Macaca fascicularis: one gene and its partners. The protein of the gene in region 1 interacts with the protein of each later gene in a pairwise test. Links are inferred from orthologs where the notes say so. Each region holds a gene or a part of one and is shown in the gene's direction. Other genes may lie near its edges.

Evidence for each region.
Region 2: the proteins of SNRPN (region 1) and SNRPD3 interact in a two-hybrid assay, tested with the Homo sapiens proteins (2 studies listed by BioGRID, with this or other methods). The link is inferred for Macaca fascicularis from reciprocal best matches to the Homo sapiens genes SNRPN and SNRPD3.
Region 3: the proteins of SNRPN (region 1) and CTBP1 interact in a two-hybrid assay, tested with the Homo sapiens proteins (2 studies listed by BioGRID and IntAct). The link is inferred for Macaca fascicularis from reciprocal best matches to the Homo sapiens genes SNRPN and CTBP1.

Annotation. Positions count from the first base shown.
Region 1 is NC_088381.1:4,135,603-4,139,113, reverse strand, and holds part of SNRPN (small nuclear ribonucleoprotein-associated protein N), read left to right. Parts: 5' UTR 1-15; coding exon 16-18; intron 19-874; coding exon 875-1,026; intron 1,027-1,830; coding exon 1,831-1,942; intron 1,943-2,394; coding exon 2,395-2,547; intron 2,548-3,297; coding exon 3,298-3,436; intron 3,437-3,511.
Region 2 is NC_088384.1:28,879,718-28,883,832, reverse strand, and holds the start of SNRPD3 (small nuclear ribonucleoprotein Sm D3), read left to right. Parts: upstream 1-1,304; 5' UTR 1,305-1,393; intron 1,394-2,985; 5' UTR 2,986-3,003; coding exon 3,004-3,129; intron 3,130-4,115. Other genes in the region: protein GUCD1, read right to left, coding at 267-309. UniProt on the Homo sapiens protein: Plays a role in pre-mRNA splicing as a core component of the spliceosomal U1, U2, U4 and U5 small nuclear ribonucleoproteins (snRNPs), the building blocks of the spliceosome.
Region 3 is NC_088379.1:1,343,336-1,347,542, reverse strand, and holds the start of CTBP1 (C-terminal-binding protein 1), read left to right. Parts: upstream 1-1,399; 5' UTR 1,400-1,574; coding exon 1,575-1,614; intron 1,615-1,799; exon of another isoform or gene 1,800-2,934; intron 2,935-4,207. UniProt on the Homo sapiens protein: Corepressor targeting diverse transcription regulators such as GLIS2 or BCL6. Has dehydrogenase activity. Involved in controlling the equilibrium between tubular and stacked structures in the Golgi complex.

The DNA of each region.
Region 1 (3,511 bases):
GGTGGAACAGCAATCATGGTAAGCTGTACAATAAGGCTGAGGGTTGAAAACGTGATGTAAGGGCTGAAAGAAAGAGTTTGCCAGCATGTGCAGTGATTTTGGGTTCTGAATGTTAGTATACATCCATGGATATAGATTCTCATTGCACTGAGTATCAGCGGGAGATGAGCTGATTTTTTTTATTTTTTTCAGACGGAGTCTTGCTCTGTCTCCCAGGCTCACTACAACCCTGGGTCCAAGAGATTCTTGTGCCTCAGCCTCTTTATTAGAGACAGGGTTTCACCGTGTTGGCCAGGCTGGTCTCAAACTCCTGACCTCAAGTGATCCACCCACCTCGGCCTCCCAAAGTGCTGGGACAGGCGTGAGCCACTGTACCTGGCCGTGAGAAATGTTTTATGATGTGAGAAAATACAGGAGTATTTGGTCATGATTCCACCCGTGGTGAAGGACTATCCTGCAGATGATGGACTCTCAGGTCAGATTACAATAGAAATAAAGAGGACTTTGAAAATGGAAGGGTTTTGGCATTAATAGTACAGAGAAAAGCAGTCTGGAGAGAGAGAACACCCTAATCATTGTGGTTTGGTTTAGTTAGGGGAGTGGACAGTTTACAGCATGCATTGTCTAAGAGAAGAATAATCACCCCTAAGGAGGTGAAAATTGGTTCTTGAGATGTGAAAAAATACTTCATAATCCTTCGTGGTCCTCCAGAGACTCATACTAAATATGGAAGAATGTTGGTGAAAAAGTAGGAGAGAATATTTGTTTAGTTAAGGAAACCAGGCTTGGATTATATAAGGGCGGAGAAGAAACAGAAGATTAGAAGACTAGGGTGTTGGCAACCTGAACATGACTCTTGTCTTACTGCTTCCAGACTGTGGGCAAGAGTAGCAAGATGCTGCAGCACATTGACTATAGAATGAGATGTATCCTACAAGATGGCCGAATCTTCATTGGCACCTTTAAGGCTTTTGACAAGCATATGAATTTGATCCTCTGTGATTGTGATGAGTTCAGAAAGATCAAGTAAGCTGATTTGGGTAAATGGGGGTTGGACGCAGAGGCAGTGGGAAAGGAAGGCCAGAGCTGGAGTAAGGGATTTCCAAGGGTAACTGAGGTAGGTAGGGAAGCTAAGGTAGAGCCAGTCTATTGTTTCACCTCTTGACCTGATCTCTGAATTAGGTCAGAGTCTGCATATAAACTCTTTTAAGTTTGTGAGACAATCATGGATTTATTACTGGGAATAAAAGTGTAGTGCTCAAAATATTAAGTTATATTTATTTTTAAAATTGAGAAAAATGCTATTGTTAATTAATTGGTTGGCTTCTGCAGCAGTCTTAGACCGAATAAATCTGGGTTGAAATAGAGAATAATAATTGCTCTTCACGGTTGAGGAGTTGGGATATGGTTGCTATTTGTTATCCTCTCTTTGCCTATTACTGTTCGCATTATTTCAGTTGTGTCATCCTGTCATTATGATTTAATTATTTAAGTAATTTTTTAAAGAAATTTCCATTTTAATATGGAAACCGAAGTTTCAACTTTGTTTTCCTTAAAAGGCGTTTTACAAAAGAAATTCGTCTTGTTGTAGTGTTAACATCAAAGGAACATTCTGTAAAAGACTAAAGTTAGATCAGAAAACAGCTTTACTATTTACCCTTTTATATTAACTGTTTACAGATTTTTTTTGGTTTGTTTTTCAGTGATAACTTAATATCTGTTTAGCATCGGTTGCCTTAATTGATACTTGAGGTTGTATAAATATTTTGATGAGTGAGTAATCTAGGGGTCACTAAAATTATCTCACTAAAATTTAATTCTGATTTGTAGGCCAAAGAATGCGAAGCAACCAGAGCGTGAAGAAAAGCGGGTTTTGGGTCTGGTGTTGCTGCGTGGGGAGAACTTGGTATCCATGACTGTGGAGGGGCCACCCCCCAAAGATGTAAGGAAGATGTAGAGCAGGACAGAACTCTAATTTGCAAGGACATCATATTATGTGAGATGTCTGAAATCACAGTACAGCACAGACACAGTTTAACATGGATTGTCAAATGTGCCAAGCACTTAGTATCAATTGTTGGTTGCCTATGCTATTTGGGATTAAGGGTTTTTTGGTGAATTATTCTGTGTGCTGGGCATTACCTAGGTGAGGGTAGGAGTTGCTGATTCATGTTTGCTTGGTATGTTTATAAAAGAGCTGTTTTCACAATTTGACAAATAATGTGCATTTTATCCACAAGATACCTCCATGGTATACTTGCTTGTTCATTTGGATACAGAACTAATACGAGATAAATGTCTGGGAAAATGGTGGAGAGAAGTGATCTCTGATGCATAAAAATACTGAGAACTTGTAAATTGTTTGATTTTAGGCTATACATTTTCTTGTTTCAGACTGGCATTGCTCGGGTACCACTTGCTGGAGCTGCTGGAGGCCCTGGGGTTGGTAGGGCAGCTGGTAGAGGAGTACCAGCTGGTGTGCCAATTCCCCAGGCCCCTGCTGGATTGGCAGGCCCTGTCCGAGGAGTTGGGGGACCGTCCCAGCAGGTGAGGAACCAGCGGAGGGTTTTATATTGGGAGAATGTGACTAAGCCAGAGGCCGAGGAGATTTAAAAACCTGAGTGTACATGTCATACTATGTAAAGGGCATATGGTCTAGGAGGAACCAACGGACAGATATACAGGAGGAAGGGAATAAAACTAGCTACTTAAAATGGTCATTGGGTGATTAAAATTACCCGAGTTACTCTTGGTAAGAGTAACTTGCCACTAGTGGTGAGTGAACGGAATGCCTGGATATACCTCAGTTGAAAAGATCAAAGGGCTTTGTGGATGTCAGTGTACTAAGATTAGTTTTTAAAATATGGGAATAGGCAGGTGCGGTGGCTTATGCCTGTAGTCCAGCACTTTGGGAGGCCACAGTGGGCAGATCACTTGAGGTCAGGAGTTGGAGACCAGCCTGGCCCACATGGTGAAAACCCCGTCTCTACTAAAAGCACAAAAACCTGCTGGGCCTGGTTGGGGGCACCTGTGATCCCAGCTACCCAGCAGGCTGAGACAGGAGAACCGCTTGAACCCGGGAGTGGGAGGCTGCAGTGGGCTGAGATTGCACCATTGCATTGCAGCCTGGGTGACAAGAGTGAAACTGTCTCAAAAAAAAAACATGGGAATAACGAGAGAAGTACAACATTGCAACAGTTGTTTGTATCTAATTGGCCATTTTTCTCATTTATTTTCTGTGTTTGAATAACGTGAAGGTATGTATCACTTTGTTGGTTTCTCCCCTTGCCTTCTCAGGTAATGACTCCACAGGGAAGAGGCACTGTAGCAGCTGCTGCTGTTGCTGCCACCGCCAGCATTGCTGGAGCCCCAACACAGTACCCACCAGGACGGGGGACTCCGCCCCCACCTGTTGGCAGAGCAACCCCACCTCCAGGTAAGGGATTGGTGAACATTAAGACGAATTTGAATCTCTGACTAGAGAGAGCTTACTGATTTAAGACACAGCCTG
Region 2 (4,115 bases), on another chromosome or scaffold:
CCCCAAGGCACGAGAGCTCCCAAGGCGGCTCCAGTAGGACTTTTCGCTTCTGGGGAAGGTGGCGCCCCTTCTACCCGGACCCTCCCACCATGCGGACAAGGGTCGCAATCCTGCCAGTGTCAGGAAACCCCCACTGACTGGAGCGAGGCGGGTGTGGGGGTGAGGCGGGAGTCGGCCCAAGGTCGCGCGGCTGGACCCTGCCCCGCGCTAGGGCGGGGTCCCCTTCGTTCCTAGGGTGAAGACTGGGCCCACAGAGAGGCACTGACCGGGCTCGAGCGGCGGCCCCGCTGCCTCCGCCTCCGTCCTCATGACCCGGGCGGCGCGGGGCGCCCATGGCCCCGGCCCAGAGCGGGCTACAGCTTCCGCTTCGGCTGGGGCGGTAGGGCGGTCGGTGCGTGTCGAGTTCCTTCTCCGCCACCGCCGCCGCTGCGGAGGGGAGAACCGGAGGCGGTGGCTGGGCCGCCCCAAGCCCCGCCCCAGCCCTTCCAGGTCTCGAATCTGGAGGCCCCGCCCTTTCTCTAAGCCCCGCCCCAAACTTTGATCCTAGAGGCCCCCAGCCTCCCGATTTAAATCTGCCCCGGCCATTCACCGCCTCAGCGTCGAGTGACCCAGCCCTCTCGTCCAATCCTCGCGCAGCCGCGAAGCCCAACAAGACGCGGACCCGGAAGCTCCGCCCCTTTCCTTGAGCCCCGCCCCAAAGCCCGTGCATTTCGTGAACAGAGGCTCCTCCCTTCAGCAAGCCCCGCCTCTGCCGGGGCCCGCTCCTTTGCCAGTCTTAGCTGTAAACCCTGGTCCGGCCCAGTGTATTCCGGAGGCTCCAAACAACTCTCCTTAAACTGCCTTTAGGGATGACCCTGAGCCGGCCTCCTCTCTACTCTATACCTAACTTTATCCGTACGAGATACGTAGCCTCACTCAGGGCGCCCCTTACCTGGCGGTGCTGGGATCAAAAAATTAAATTGTGAGGGGAAGTCCTGGCCCTTGGCCCAACCTCCTGCTGCCCCCGGTCTGAGGGCCCAGGCCCCGAGTCTCCGCCTTGCCGTCCAGCCTGTCCTTGGTGTGGGGCGCTTGGAAGTGCAAGCACCCTCTCTGGCTCTTTGCCGGCCCCAAGGGTCGTTGTTTGCGGCGGTCCCCGGGCCCAGTCTTCGGCCCTCTTTTCCGGTGCCGGAACTATCGTACTGGTGCCTTAGTTTCCCAGCCGGCACGCGGGGTGAGGAGGAAGCGGAGGCGACACCGCTCTCACCACTGGGGAAAGGAAGGAGGCGGGCCCTGCGCGCAGCATTTTGGGAACGAGTGGAATTCTGGGAGCTGGGCCCGCCATTCTCTTGATTCACGCCTTCGCCGTAGCGGCTTTCGCCGTGCACCGAAGAGAAGGAAAAGTAGGCCAGAACCGGTGAGGCTGGGGACGGGCGAGGGGAGGTCGAGGTGCCTGTGAGGGGCCGGGGGCTGGAGAAAGACTCAATGCATGAACTCTGCGGGATTCGGGGAGGGAAGAAAGCGGGAAGTTTGGACCACCCAAACATCAGCGTCGCCTCACTAGCGCCTGGAAGTAAGTTCATTAGCTGCTCCCTCAATGTGCATGCTTCTTACATTCTGTATCTCTCCAGGTGAGTGTTTTTCAAAGTTTCCAGGCAGTAATCTTGAAGTTATTTCCTATGAGTTTTTTGAATCTTGAAGTCAAATCCTATGAGGGTTTTTTTTTTTTTTTTTTTTAAAGTAGAGACGGTTTCACCATGTTACCCTGGCTGGTCTCGAACTCCTGGGCTCAAGGGATCCACCGGCTTCGTCCTTCAAAAGTGTTGGGACTACGGGCGTGAGCCATCGCGCCCAGCCGGTCATTTTTTAAAAAGTTCTTTGCATGTCTGCCCCCAGCTCCCTTTCAGGCAGTGGTCCCGTCATGCTTTCCACACTGTTGCAGCAGTTTTAACTGTTGCAGAAATTTTAACAAGTTTCTCTGCTTCTAAACCTTACGTTAGATCCATTTTGTAAATAAATGCTGCTACCTTTTCATTGTGTCATTCTTTACCTATAATTTTGCAGTGGTTCCCCACTATCTTCAGCATAAAATCTAGGCTCCTAAGGCTGAAAGCCAGGGATCCTCACCAAAGGAGCCTGTCTTTTCAACCTCATGTTCTCCTGTCTTAGGTGCACTTAGGTTCCAACTTTGAGTCGTCGCTCATGTCAATAAAAAGTTCACTACTTGATGCTTTTAATTAGGTCAAGTCAGGTGCTTTCCCTTATTTTCCTCCATGACGGGCATTTCCTGCATATAGCACGTTGTCACTTCGATATTTTCTCAATATCCTTGATGGTAAAGTAAGGGAAGGGTTAAAGAGCTGCATTAAAAGTACAGTCTCCTCTCCTAGATATGCATGGTCCTTAGGTCTGTATCTGCTCCTTCCGTAGGGTAGCCACCAGCTACATGTAGCTGTTGAGCACTTGGAATATGGCCACTGGGATTGAGGGACTGGGTTTTTTATTTTAATTCTATTGTGTTTTAGTTAAGTTTAATTTAAATAGCTACATGTGGACATGAGCTACTGTATTGGACAGCTCAGGCCTGTGTTATGATTCTCAAAATATAATAATCTACAATTAAGGGTTGACAAATAACAGTGCAACAGATTAACATTCCAATCCCCCTCCCCTACACACACAGTATTCGCTAATGGTCCTTTAGCTGAAGATTAAGGGACATAGGGTAGCAGGGACACATGGTCGATGGGAGATGCTCTCTTTTCATTCCTATTTTTACTTCTGTCCACCCCACCATTCCTCCTCACCCGACATCTTGCACATATTTGCCAGATAGTTTCCTCCAAGCCAGGAGCTGAGCTTTCTTTTTTCTTTTTCTTTGATAGAAAATGCAGCTTTGGCGTTTTTGCTAAGTTTTATGGAGTGCCAGGCCTTGAAGGAGGCATGACGTGTGCCGCATGCCTTCTCAGACTCTGAAAGATGAACTGACTGTTGTCTCTTTCACTGTAGAGCTCTCTTCCTGCCAAGATGTCTATTGGTGTGCCAATTAAAGTGCTGCACGAGGCCGAGGGCCACATTGTGACATGTGAGACGAACACCGGTGAGGTATATCGGGGGAAGCTCATTGAAGCAGAGGACAACATGAACTGCCAGGTATTCTGCTTTGCATGTGAGGCTGTGTGGGAGGAATGGCCCTGTGTCTTGAAGGACAGAAAGGTGTGGGTTGGGGGTCTTCTGTAAATTGTTCTCATTCAGCAATGATTTCCTGAGTGCCTAACACATACCAGTCAGGTGCTGTTATAGGCTCTGGGGATGTGGGCATGAACAAAACACATAGTCTTGAGGCAGAAAAGCCATTTGGAGATTTGGAATATTTTACTTCGCCTTTTTTGTTTTTTCCATCCCCAAATTTGGGGACCTGTTTGGGAGAAGTTCCTTCAGTAGAATCCTTCAGGTTCAGAGCCATTATCCATTTGCCTCCACTTGCTTTGCAGTTAGGAGAATCTTCTCACATACTGTGTTTGTTTCCCTTTTCTCTTGGAGGAGGAGTCTCATTTGATTATTGCAACTACCTTGTGAGGTAAGCAGGTTTGGTGGTAGTCTTGTCATCCATAAAATAGGGAGAATGAGATTAAAGGACTCATCACTCTGATAGTAAATAATGGAGTAGTTTCTTGATACGGTGTCCTTCTCATGGCGCAGCTTTGCCTTTTGCATAGTCATCTGAATTTTTATAGCATTGTTTTTCAGTTGTATCTTCACACTTTCTTTGTTCTTTAAACCATTGGTTAAGAACTTGGACTTGGGAGTCAGAGAGAGATGTGGGTTTGATTCCTAATTATATGACCTTAGATGTATTAATCACTCAGTTTTCTCATCTGTAAAACGGGAGTGTTATTATTTTGGGTTCTTTGATGTAGATGCCAAGACAGAATTATGCAAGGTATTTATTGGGGGAAATGACAATAAAGGATAAAGGAACAAGGAAACAGTAGTAGGCAGGGAAATTTTCAGTCCGTGATGCTGGTCTGACTGGTGAAACGAGAGGGGAAAGAAGGAGGATTGAGCAGGAAGAACCTTAGACTACAGTGTAGTTTTGAGGAAGTCTCAGCAAGGCAGTGATTGCTCATTAGAAGAGT
Region 3 (4,207 bases), on another chromosome or scaffold:
GATGTCTGGCCTTGGAGGTTGCTGCTCATTTTTCTGGAATTTTCTTAGATCTCTGCAGGGCTGCCCCTCCCCCTACAAGGGCTCCACACGTGTTCCCTCCTTCATGACTCCCACTGGGCTTCCCTGACAGGGCCCCACCCTCCCCAAAGCTCTGGTGATACCTGCCAGGTTTCCTCCAGGCCACAGCTGGGCAGCCCGGTCTTAGAACAGAAAGTGGTACGCATGGCAGGCCCGACTGAGGGCCCAGCACTGTCAGTGGGGTCAGAGGTCTTCCCAGGCCTGGAAGGGCAGACATGGGCTTCTCAGGGCAGCCTAGGACGCGTCCTCACGAACCACAGCGAAACTAGAGCAGGTGTCTCTCGGATAGGAGTCTGCATCATTCCGTCTCCAGGCTGTGGTTTCTCAAATTATGCAACTATCTGATCATTCCAGTGTGCTCAGAGTAGCCACGCGCAGAGGCCCTTCCCACAACTCCCCACGGGGTGGATGGAAGCGTCCACTCGCGGCGCGAGGAATATCCCTGGGCCCCTCGGGAGAGTCTGCAGGGGCAGCCCCTGGGTGAGCAGGCCCGGTGCGGCCTCTCCCTGAAGGGACTTTCGGGCCCTCCCGGGTCGGGGCGTTTCCCGCAGCGGGCAGAAGCAGAGCTGGCTACAAACCCTACTCTTGTTAAAGGAGAAACGGGGTCGAGAAGGGGGTTCTCCAGCCCTGAACTTCCCGGGCCGGGAACAGCGCGCTGGGCCGGGCAGAACGCGGCCCCTCCCGGAGTCGGGGTCCCCCCCGGCTGGGGACGAACTGGGGCGGGCGCGCTTCTCCTCCCGGGGCCCCATGTGCGGCCGGCTCTTGGACGGTAAATCAGGGCTCGGGTGGGGGCGATGGGGGGAACCCGCGGCCTCGGTGCCCCTGGCCAGCCCCGGGGACAGCGGCACCGCAAGGACAAGTCTTCGGAGGCGCACGGGCCAGGCCGCGGGGCCAGAAGCGAGCGGGGGAGGGCGGCGGCTGGCGGGGCGGGAAGGGAGCGGGGCGGCCGCTGCGCGGAGGAGCGCCATTTACGTTCGGGTCCGTTCCGGGCGCTGACGTGGGCGACCCTGCCTCGGCTTCCGGGCCCGGCGCCGTCCCGCAGGGGGCCTCGGGGCGGGCGGCGCTCCTGCCAGCGGTGCTGAGCCCGGCCCGACCCTGCCCGCCTTCCTCCGGGACAGGCGGTTTAGAACGTGCGGAACACCGGGCCTCGGGCCTCCGCCGGGCTGCAGGCCCCGTGAGCTTCCCGCCAGGCTCCCGCCCCGCCCCGCAGCCGCGCCCGGCCGGGCGGGCCCTGAGCCGCCCGCGTGAGTCCGTGCGCCGCCCGCGCCGGGAACCAGGAGACCAACCGCGAGGCCCCGCCCGCGCGCGCCGCCGTGTCCCCGCCCGCGCGGTCGTCGGAGCGCGGCTCAGCGGCGCGGCGGAGGCTCGGCACGGCGGCGGCCAGGCGCAGGCGAGCGGGCGGAGCAGCGGACGGCACCGAGGCCGCCCCACGCGCCGGACTCGCGGCGGCGCAGCGCGCCGGAGTGGTCGGGGCCCGCGGCCGCTCGCGCCTCTCGATGGGCAGCTCGCACTTGCTCAACAAGGGCCTGCCGCTCGGTAAGGCCGCGCGCGCGCGCGTTTCCGGCCGCGGGCGGGGGCGGGGCGGGGCGGGGGCCGCGCGGGCGGGGGGCGCGGGGGCGGGCCGAGCGCGCGCCCGCGGGCCGCCGGCTTTGTGTGCGAGTGCGCGTGCGCGCCGTCGTCCGCGCGTGGCCGCGGTCGGGGGCGGGACCGCGGCAAGGGTCGTGCGCATGCGCGGGCCGCTGCGTGTGAGCGAGCGCCGCCGTGTGCACTCCCCGCCCGCGGCCCGCGCAGGTGACACAAAGGGGCCCGTGGGCCTCCAGGCTGCTCCACCGACCCCAGCCCCATGGGACCCGGGACGGCACCCCGAGTCCCGAGTCCCGATCCCCGGCCGCTACCCCGTCCCCGGTCACGACCCCGCGGCTGGGCCTGCGGGACCGGGGTGGGAGCTGCGCCGTGCGCAGCTACGGGTGTCCTGGGGAGCGCGCTCCCGGGCCACTCGCGGGAGCGCGCCCCCTCCCGCCCTGAGGCTGCCGGCGACCGCGGCCGCGCGCTGTGGGGGAAGGGGACGGGGCCTGGGCGCCGGGTCTGACCGTGGAGGAGGCCGCCGCCCTCAGACCGGGCCCAAAGCGCAGCCCCCGGCGGTGACGCGGGCGGTCCCCGGGGGTCTCCGCTCCCGCGAACTCCGCGAGGGCCCGGCCCGGCCCGGCGCCTCCACCTGCCTCTGCCTGTGCCGGCCCGGGTCCCGGGGCGCCTTCCTCGCCGGCTGCGGCCCCGGAAGCAGGGAGCACGGGCGGACGCCGGGCGCACGGCCATCGCCATCTTGCAGCGCCCGCATCCTGGGCCGGCCCGGGCCGCTCCGCGGAGCCTCTCTCTCCCTCGACACGGCTGCAAAGGCAGAGCCCGCGCGCTTGATCCCCGGGCCAAAGCTGGAGCGTTCTCTGGCGGCCTCCAAGGGCATCGGTGTCCAGAAGCCCGGCCGGGGCCAGAGCCCTTTTGCTGTAGTCTCCGCGATTGCCGGGACAGAATTCCCTTCCAGTGGGGAAAAGGGAAGGCGGTCGCGCCCTTCCCGGTGCCCTGAGTGGGGAGGTGAAACCCTGAGAGTTGGGGCTAGAGGGCCCGGAGCCAGGGCCGAGGCGGCGGGTGCGCAGGGTGCTCCGTGGAGCCCGAGCACCCCCAGCCAAGTCCTCTCCACCGTTTCTGTAGGAGCTCGGCAGGGAGCACAAGTCCGTCGGGAAGAAAACGGCGCTGGTGGCTGGGCCCGCGCCGCGGGCGTCCTCGCTGAGCTCCTAGCGCATGGCCTGTGCGCGTCTGTGTACCCGTCTGCGGCTTGGGGCAGGGTTGGGGCAGCACCGTGGGGTAACTATTTGCCGTTGCAGCTGAGGATGACAGCTGCGGTTTGGGGGTCTCTCGTTCTGTGTCCTGGAACTTTGTAGGGCGTGGCTCTGCCCTGGGCCTCAGCACCAGGTCTCCCCTGCCCGCCCAGGCCTGGCCACCTCCCTCTGGGGTCTGGGTTTGGCTCCTGGTTGGCACTGTCAGCTCTGCAGACGCGTTTTGCCCTCTGTGATTCTGTCGCCCATCTTTGAGCACCTGCTTCCATGCTGGCGTCCTCTGCAGAACTCTGGGAGGGACATGCAGTGGGGGCTGCATCTGCTCACTGCCCGGGGTGCCTTGTCCACCTGCCTGGCCGTTTTTGAGGTGTCTGCCATGTCCGCAGCATGTACTTCGTCCTGTCAGCCTTGACCAGGGCAGCTGTTAGTTCTGAGAGGTGGACATGTGGTTGGGAATGTCAGTGAGTAGGATCTTCCCTTTTGCACACTTGTCATTAACCTGAGAACATGGCAGTGGGGGAGGGGAGGTTTGGCCCCGGGTGCACGGGACTGTGGGCTGGTCCTGTCCGTCTGCTGAGTGGGATGGGCCTTGGCCCAGTCCTGTGGGCTTGGCGCAGAACCGACCCCAGCCACATCCTGGGGAGATTGGAGGTGCTGGCTGGTCCTGTCTGCCTCCTCCAAGGGCTGGGAGCCCCCCACTCTTTGGACGTTTGTAGTGTAAGGTTCCATTATCCAGCAGACAGCCACTGTTAACAGTCACTCTGTTAATAAGTTTTTTCTGGAGGAACCCTGGACAGAAGTAGTCACGCTCTGCAGGAAACGGGTCCCAGGCTCGAGAGGCCTAGTCTCTTCCTTTGGAGCTCAGAGGTGGCTGTTCAGCCACACCTGGCTCGCCTGGCAGTTTTTCTCCTCTGACTGTAACTAGCCCTTTCAACTTCCTGTGGCCACTGCCCCCAGAGTGTGACCTGGTCTGAGCTGATGGTGGCGTCCCTGAGCCAAGAGGCGTACGGCTGGTACCACTAGTGTTGCTGAGAACCCTTCAGGCAGCGTTCTGTGCCTGGCTGTGCCCTGGCGCTCCCCACGCAGTGCCCAAGTCAAAGGCGTGTGCCCTGTGAGGTGTTTACCCGAGTGACTCTCCTTCCAGAAGGACTTCTTGTTTTCCCCTCCACTCAGGGCTGGAGAGGGCTCCGTACGGGTGGTGCTGACGGTGCAGGCCTGGCTCAGGGCCCAGGGGTGGCCAGGAGGTGGTGGAGGCAGCAGGTGGTGTCCTCCGGGTTCTGTGGTTGAACTGCATCGCCTGA